2 linked regions of the Caenorhabditis elegans genome follow. The protein of the gene in region 1 purifies or fractionates together with the protein of each later gene. This does not show direct contact. Each region holds a gene or a part of one and is shown on either strand. Other genes may lie near its edges.

What was found.
Region 2: the proteins of F55A11.1 (region 1) and mam-3 fractionate together in Caenorhabditis elegans (co-fractionation; one large-scale study listed by BioGRID). This does not show direct contact.

The regions. Positions count from the first base shown.
Region 1 is NC_003283.11:11,762,552-11,766,344, forward strand, and holds F55A11.1 (EF-hand domain-containing protein), read right to left. Parts: upstream 1,835-3,793; 5' UTR 1,828-1,834; coding exon 1,729-1,827; intron 1,598-1,728; coding exon 1,521-1,597; intron 1,476-1,520; coding exon 1,215-1,475; intron 1,103-1,214; coding exon 979-1,102; 3' UTR 588-978; downstream 1-587. Other genes in the region: T04F3.4 (EF-hand domain-containing protein), read right to left, coding at 296-350, 403-445; syx-5 (Putative syntaxin-5), read left to right, coding at 2,368-2,556, 2,633-2,815, 3,058-3,529, 3,575-3,672.
Region 2 is NC_003282.8:13,442,120-13,447,380, forward strand, and holds the start of mam-3 (MAM domain-containing protein), read right to left. Parts: upstream 3,257-5,261; 5' UTR 3,148-3,256; coding exon 3,006-3,147; intron 2,287-3,005; coding exon 2,159-2,286; intron 1,728-2,158; exon of another isoform or gene 1,626-1,727; intron 1,383-1,625; exon of another isoform or gene 1,265-1,382; intron 1,197-1,264; coding exon 1,030-1,196; intron 642-1,029; coding exon 379-641; intron 140-378; coding exon 1-139. Other genes in the region: uso-1 (Uso1_p115_head domain-containing protein), read right to left, coding at 3,913-4,056, 4,606-4,749, 5,173-5,261.

The sequences.
Region 1 (3,793 bases):
GCGCTTTTTTTAATAGATTTTTGCTCAAATGCTTTAGTTAATTTTTTCAAAATAAAAAAATCAATTAAATCATATAAATTTTGAAAAATAGTGTACCAACAATGAAAGATCGATGAAATTAAAAAATTACAGTCCTCATTAGAGGCACACATCCGCTTGTATTTGACAAGAAGTGTCGTGTCGAGACCGAGTTATGTGCTTTTAGCGCGAAAATTGCTAAATTTCGCATATGGCATATAATTGCATCTACATTTACTTTAACCAAACTAATTTTCATACGTACACTTGCACTTACTCTTCATCGTGTACTTCTTTTTCTTCAGCAAACTTTGCTCCTTGAGCTTCTAGCACTAAAATTTAATAATTTATAAACATTAGAAAGTTATAAACAGATTTGCATACCTAATAGAAGGAATACAGTTGAGATGAATAAAAATCCACGCATTATAGAGTGGGAATATGTATAAAATCAATAGAAATAGACAGAAAACTCTTTTTCTCAAGACTGCCAAATGTCAATATTTTATTATCAGTCTCCCCCTGCTTCGCCTTTTAGTTCCAACGCAAAATTTGGTAGTGCAAAAGCAAAAGCAAACATGAATTTTATTGTTACAGGTGCTAAATACAAATTTTCATTTGTTTTTATTCGATCTCAACTAACTATAAGATAAACCAATAAATTATGCTTTTTACAAATGGGTTTCGAAAAATCATCACAACTTGAGAAATGATGGGGAAAATGCAAAATTGGAAAAATAACTAAAGTTGTAGGACTGGGAAATGGGGAGGGTGTCTGACTATTATGTACCAGTTAAAGTGTTAAAAGTGACGAGGATAGTATGATAAAATGATTTGTTACAGCAGTCGATATAACCCATCAAAAGACGTAGAATGTTAATAAAACATTGAAAACTTTGGAAACGAGGAATTGGAAATTATGGCTATTAATTAGATCGTTGTCCTAATCAGAATTCTCGATTATTGTGTGCCACCAGCTTTCTGCATTTGTTCCTGGTGAGATCTTGCTTGATCTTCTCGAAGCTTTTGTGCTTTGAGGAACTCTCCGTAGTCGATGAAGCCATCAGCATTGAAATCGTCGTCCCTGAAAATATTCAGTAAAGTATTTTTTTAAGACTTTGAATATTTTAGTGCTTTCTTATGCTAATTGCTAGCAGTAGTCTCTAGAAAATAAATTAATTAAATATATATCTCACTTTAAAATACTATCAATCATCGTCTCCAATTCAACTTCACTTGGGAGTGGTGGTGGCTGATGATTGGCATTGGCATTATTTTGTGTATGCTGTGGTCCTGGATTCTCGGCATGGAAATGCGTTATTGCCTTAATCAACTCGACTCCATCCAGTTTCCCATTTTTATCTAAATCGTGCATATTGAAATAATGGAATTGAAGTTGTTCTGGCGTCATGTTAGCAGTTGGGTCCACTTTTCCGTCCAAATGTTCTTTTATGTGGCTGAAATGTTTTAAATTAATTTTGAAAATTGTTATTAAAACTTACTGTTCATCTCTGGCCTGTTCTCCACCAAACTGCTGTTGCCCAGGCTGAGCATGTTGAGCTTGTTCCGCTTGGCCACCCTGATTTATTCAATACAATTTACAAAATTAAAGAAGCTTTAAAATAATAAAAATCACTGTATCCAGATTGTTTTTCAGTTCAATTTCTAGCGAAAATAATTTTCTTATTATTCTTTACAAACATTGTTTACCTGTTGTGGTTGCTGTTGATTAGAACCAGGAAACTGCTGTGGTTGGTGGGCAAAGGAACCAAGAATGAGGCAAGATACCACCAAAATGTTGGCTGCCATTCCTGTAATATTATAATCACTAAAATATAGACAAAACTAAGTAAGAATACAGAAAACGGAATCAAAAACGGAAGCGTGAAGTGGAAGCTGTTATTTTATTTGTGTCGATTTACGGGGAGATACGGTAATCGGGAGGCAACGTGTTCCAAATCTTACGGTAATCGCTGAAATTTCTTAAAACAATAAATCGAAACGAAAAGTTATGTGTATTTTTTTAATAAAATTAACTTGACTGAGCATTTTGGTTGAGAAATATAAAACTTAAACTGAAAATTAAACAAAAAAAAAAGAAAAACTAGTGCATTGAGGAGCGTGTTTGTTGCGCATAAAATACGCAACGCCACGCACAACCTCCGACCACACATTGATTTTCTTCTCCACGAAGTCGAGCCGGTTTAGTGGACTGTTGCGACAATGCAGCGAAATATTTGTTATTTGTTTTTCTTTTGAAATAATATTTTTACCGTGACATTTGAATATATTAATCTTTTCGACGCTTTCAGTCATTTAAACAATATTTTTCAGTTTGTTCGATGTCGGATGTCGGACTTTCACAACATTAGATCTCGTCGACGAATACCAGAAGCCAGTTCTTACTCAACAGTCGATTTTGATTACGATCCAGATCAGAAGAATCACACTTCAGCAGTTGCTCCGACTAGTTTCGCGTATAGCTCTCTCACAACCGTTTTCAACGCGTCAGCTTCACAACTTTGGAATTCTGCGCAGGTTTGTCTATCGGAACGAAGAAAGATGGCTATCTGTATATTTCTGGTTTTTATTTTTTCATGCATATATCTTTCAGGAGGCGCTTGTATCCTCCTACGACACAGCGGAAGGCACTGAAAGCATAGACGCAGATCGATCAAAGGTAGTAGAAACACTTGAATCGCTGAGTATTTTTGGAAATCCACTTGATCATATCATTATCACAATGCCATCAAGAGATCGAACTTCGGAATTCCGGGCGACAGCCAAATCATACGAAGTGAGTTTTTTCATTAAACTTCTAAAAATAAGCTTTTATTTCGAAACATTTACTTTTAAAACGTGTTATTCGGGTTTCACATCAACATTTGGACGAGACGAATATATCGATTTTTGCGAAACTCGAAATACACTTCGAACAGAAAAAAGAAACACGAATCACCTGTTAATATTTTTAAAAACATTCTAGGCGATAATATTTTTATTATTTATATAAAATTCGGGTAACATATAATTTTTCAGATGAAAGCAGCCGCAAATGGAATTAGACCTCAACCAAAGCATGAGATGCTATCTGAATCCGTGCAGTTCAATCAACTCGCAAAGCGAATCGGAAAAGAATTGAGTCAAACGTGTGCAAAAATGGAAAAACTTGCCGAATATGCTAAGAAAAAGAGCTGCTATGAAGAACGATCTCAAATTGACCATCTTTCATCAATTGTCAAGTCTGACATTACGGGTTTGAACAAACAGATCGGACAACTTCAAGAATTTTCAAAAAGACGTGCAGGAAACATGAAAAATCAAAATAGTGGACATATACAATTAGTTGTAGTTGGATTGCAGTCAAAATTAGCGAATGTCGGAAAAGATTATCAAAGCGTACTGGAAATTAGTACAGAAACAATGAAGGCTGAAAAAAATCGCCGAGATAAATTCTCGAGTGGTGCAGCAGTTCCAATGGGACTTCCTTCCTCCTCTTCCGGAGCTAATGGTATTTTATTTTCCTCGCTCATTCAATAAAAATCTGAAATTTTAGTTCGTTCAAAGCTTCTTCAAGATGATGAGCAGCATGGCTCCTCAAGCATAGCTCTGGATATGGGTGCTCTGTCAAACATGCAATCACAACAGACTATGGTAAGTTTTCAATTTGAAAAATATGAAATTTTTTTTGAAAAACTATCAATATTAAATTTCCAATGCTCCGTGTTTAGGAGAAGTACAGTGAAACTTTTTTTAAAAATTAATATTTTTTGCC
Region 2 (5,261 bases), on another chromosome or scaffold:
CATTCACTTAATTGAGATTTGGCCATATTTCCCCATCGACAGGATCGTAGCGGGCGTTCACAACTCAAATCAGACATTCTTTGAAGTGGACTATTATCATATGGAGGAATACGAAGAGATGAGAATGATGATGGGAATGCTGGAATAATTAATTTTAGGTAAAATGGGAGTGATTGAGATATTTTGTTAGATTATGAAGAGTGAGGCATTGGATTTTTCTGGATGTTCAGTGAAAGTTTAAAACTTCTCTAACAAATCTAGTTTTATTTTGAAAAATTTACAGAACAAAATCTTTTAAAAAAGGATTAAAAATATCGTTTTTTTTGCGCGCCAATTTGATTTTGACTGCTTCATATCTCGAATAACTTTAAAACTTACGTGATTGCTGGCAAATCTTTCCGTGATATCTGATATGATCAATGATTGCCAAACTTCCAACAGTATTATCTTTGAGATCAAATGCTCGAATTCCAATTCTGAACGGTTCCTTAATCGGCGGAATCTCGACACGACATTCCTCATTGGCGGCTCCCAAGAAATCACACTTCATTTTTGGTCTGAGCAAGACTTGAAGATGACGTCTACGATTCATTGCTCGAAGGATGATAACTTCCACTTGAGCATTGTTGTATAGCCAGAAGCTAGAAGGATATAACTGGGATTATAATTTTATTTTGGAATCTATGTTAGTTAGAGCACAGTATTTTGCCGATCGCATACTTTGTGAGCTTTTACTCAGGCAACTCAAATCTAATATGAAAATATTAAATAGCAATATTTTTGTAGTAAAAACGAGAAATTGTGCGTCATATAAAGATTACTAAAAATTTCGATTTTTTTTTTTTATATCAGCATTTTTCAAACTATTGAATCATAGAAGAACGCTTAGTTCGTTTTTTACATATTAAAAAAAATGCAAAGACAGTAGAGATCTAAGCTTTCAAAGAAGAGCAAACACATTTTATTTCAAAAAAAATTTAGGCCCTCCAACTTTGTGCTTAAAATTCTTAAAATTATCTTTGACAATACCTGAAAGTCAAGTTGGCAAATCCTTTTTGACAAGCAATTGGAGCACTGCTCAACACTGCTCCATTCGGATTTTTCGTCGTATTTCCAGCAATTATAAAATGTTCGCCTTTTGGAATTACAGGATTTCCGGGCTGGATTTGAACTGGGAAAGTTTTCTCGTCATTTTTCTGAAATTGTTTAATTTTTTAAAAAAGTTTTGAAAAATTGTAAGTATAGAATTTATAGATTTGTCTAACAAAATCGTCAAAAAATTTGGAACGCTTCACGAATTTGCGTGTCATCCTTGCGCAGGGGCCATGCTAATCTTCTCTGTATTGTTCCAATTTTAGTATATGTTCTCGGAAGAACAAACATTTAGATTTACATTTCAATTATATAGGGACCATTAACAATGCAGCTGGCATATTTGGAGTTATGTAAGACACTATACCAAATGTAGATGTAGATCAATAATTTGTGCACCTATTCTATAGCGATACCAATATCGATTTGCATCTCCACTTCCCTAGCATAGTCATAGTGTCTTACATAACTCCAAATATGTCAGCTGCTGTGTAAATGGTCCCTATATAATTGAAATGTAAATCTAACTGTTCGTTCTTCCGAGAACATATACTAAAATTGGAACAATACAGAGAAGATTAGCATGGCCCCTGCGCAAGGATGACACGCAAATTCGTGAAGCGTTCCAAATTTTTTCTATAATTTTTGGTGAACTTTCCAATGGTTCTAAAGTTGAACTGTATAATTGAATTGTCTGAATAAATTCTCGAAATGTTGCCACTTTCAATCGAGTTTTTGAAATGTTTTTTTTTTGAAACTTTCAGTTAAAACTAGTTCATAAAACCAATTAGTTGCCAAAATTAGTTGGTATCTTTTACATATTATTCGTCTCAAAACTGAAAGCTAAATATTGTATATTATACCCTGGCCTACATATAGCGTAGGATATGGAATTTCACATACATTTTTATTTCTAATTGAACAATTATACCACATTCAAAGTTTGTATTCAGCGAAATCTATAACTGAGATCGTGACAAGACCCACTCAGAAAAGGTTTTATATTCCAAAAAAAGAATAGAATGGCACAAGACATTTGAAGGAAAGTTTTTCATGAATAACAAACCTTAAAATACCACCAATCACTGGTATCCAAAAGCTTATCAGTCGGCGCATTTCTCCAAAGACATTCGGTCTCAAAGTCACAGTTGAGTTCATCAGGTGACTCAATATACGTGGCAAATCCAACGGCCTCTGAAATCCACGTGATTGTGGTTTTTTTTTGCAGATCCTCGTGGTTTGATAATTTTAGCTGTTTAAAAACAAAAAAACACTTCACATTAAAATTGCTTATTTATCACTAATTTTTAAGAACGAATCTAAAACCAGATTTTTTATGAAAGTAAAAATCGGCTGATTTATTGTTGTTACATACTTTTGTTACAGAAATTAGCGAAATATTAGCGAAATCTGGATAAAATACCGTAATTTTACTACTACTGTACTACTGTAGATTTTGAAGTACTTCATTAAAAGCTCACGGAATTATTCAGACGGGCCTCGGCGCGCAAAAAAGTTTATGGTAGTTTTATTTGTTCATTGGATGTAGTATTGTATTTTTTTTCAATGAAATCACATGGTTTTCAGCTGTAATAAATCGTTGACAATCAGTTTTCAAAGTTTAAATAAAAATTAAACTACCGCGAACTTTTAATTCCGTGCGCCTTTAATAAGGAACTACAAAATCAAGTAAATTTCCGATAAAGCTTAAATTTTTGGAAAAAAAAATCTCGTCAAAATTCAGAGTAAATCCAAAAAAAACTGGAAAATGTTGAAAAAAACATTTTTAAAAAATCGGGATGTGGCCATAAATTATTGAAAAAAAATTGAATTTTTCCAAAAAATCGAAAATTTAGACTTTTTTCGTTCGGAGCAAAAAACAGTAAATTCCTTCAAAAAACCAAAAAACCAACCTTCCACAGGAATCTCTCCATTATTATCTGGCCTAATACCAAGATACAAGTCTAAATATCGAAGCTCTTTTTGAAATTGAGCATGACATGCTTCTAGAGATGGTAGAAAAATGAGCAAAAGTGCAAATTTCTTCCAGATCATTATTTTCGAGAGGCAAAAAGGGTGTGTACAGGCGAAGAACAATGGCAGATGCGCGGGCCAGGAGAAGCAGGCGAGAGGAACGAACCGGCTTCCGAATCACTATTGATATGGAGAATAGACGGGTTCGTTATATCATTTGATCATTCACCGAATCCCCATTCAACCTGAGAGAGAGAATGATGGATTTCGGAATCAATCAATAATTTATTTGGACCATATTTACTATTAAGTTTTACATAAATAAAATTGAAAGGAAAAAAAAAACATAATTTCGGTATCACAGAAGACAGTGTGGTTTGAACGAAATGGAAAGAGTAGGTAGGGATACAAAAAAAACAGGAAGAAAATATTTTGCCAGCAAAATCACGGCGAATACGATATCGTAGATTTACAAGATCTCTGAGATGTCTTCTTAAAGGCGCACGGTTTTATGGGTCTCGGCGAGCCCAAAAAAATTTTTATGGTATTTAATTTTGTTTATTTTCTTTGCATTTATCACATAAGTTAAAAATTGTTTTAAATCAGTTTGAGAAAAAAAAACAAGAAAGCCGAAACATATCTGAAAAAAACCTGTGCGCCTTTAAGAAGACACTTAAAAAATCCTGCGAAAGTACGGTGTATGCGTTATAAATTAAATATTATACAGGAAACCTATTCGATTTAAAAAAAGAAAAGTTGATTGGAAGTATTACATGTTCTATGACAAGATTGACCCCCCAAAGAAAACAAAAAAGAAACCCGATTTTTAGTAATCCCACAGCCTTATTACTCGTCCTCATCATCTGTCACTGGCTGTTTTAGGTTTCGAAGAAGGCGTCGGTAGGCTGACATTTTATTGTGTTGATCAGCGAGAAGCATCAGAAGTTCTTCTTGTTCTTGTTTCAGTTTTGAAAACTCTTCGGAGTCAGCCTGAAAATTTGAAATGTTTGAATTATTTTCACTGAGATAAAGCTCAAAAGCTACTCATCGAAACGTTTTTATTTTAGTTTTTTTCCAGAGAAAATTGAAAAAAAAATGAAAAAGTGGATGAAAAATCTGTAGCAAAAAATAATTTCTTCAGAAAAAATCGAACCAAAATTTAAAAGTAGTTTTTTGAAAAACGAAATAATTAATTTTTTCATAGAAAAATTATATTTTAAGTGTTTGATATTTTTAGAATTTTTTATTATTTTTTCAGCTTTTTTCAAAAAAAAAATTGAAATTTTATCAAGTTTTGCTCAAATTAACCTCAAATATATAACTATTTTTATATATATATATATTTTTTCCTTCTTAAAAAAAAGAAATCTGTTAAAAAATCAAGGTTTCGAAAAACTGAAATTTTACACATTTTTTCGATTTTTTAATGAAAAAATCGATAATTTTGGTAAGATTTTCCATCTTTTCCAATAAAATTATACTTTTTCAGTGTTTTTTCTAGAAATTCCTGAAATTTCGAAAATTCCACTCGAATTCTACCTGTGGTTCGTGCTCCACAACTATTCCATTCGAAATTGGCTTCAAATTCAATTGCTCAATTTTATAATTGGCTTCAGCGAGAGCAGCTTCCGTTTTCGCGAGTCTATCTTTAAGATTTGCATTCTCTGATGTATAGTGGAGCATCTGAAATATGTAAATTTTATTTTTATGGTTATTTTATTTTTTTTTGGTTATTTTTTTTATTTTAGACCAAACGGAAGCCGAAAAAAAATTTTTCGAATAAATTTAAGCATCGAATTGTTTTTTGGTTTTTTTTGATTTTCGCAGATTTAAATGTTTAGTTTTTTGATCCAATTGTGTCATTTTTCGATTTTTCGATTTTCCGGAAAATCGAAAAAAATTTCCGAAAATTAACCACAAAATATGATTTTACAAAATCAAATTTTTGTTTTATTGATGAGAAAAAAAATAAATATTTTCATCAAAAAAAGAAGAACCCTGACCAAAATTTTAAGCTAATTTTTGAAAAATCGACAAATTTTTTTTTCGAAAAAACGAAAATTTTCGATTTTTCGATTTTCTGATAAAATCTCCTGTCTACCATACCGTTTGTGATTGCTGTTCGAATGCCTGATATCCAAATCCGAGTTGCTGCTCCAACTCGTTGACTTGTTGCTGAAGCTGAGCCAATCCCG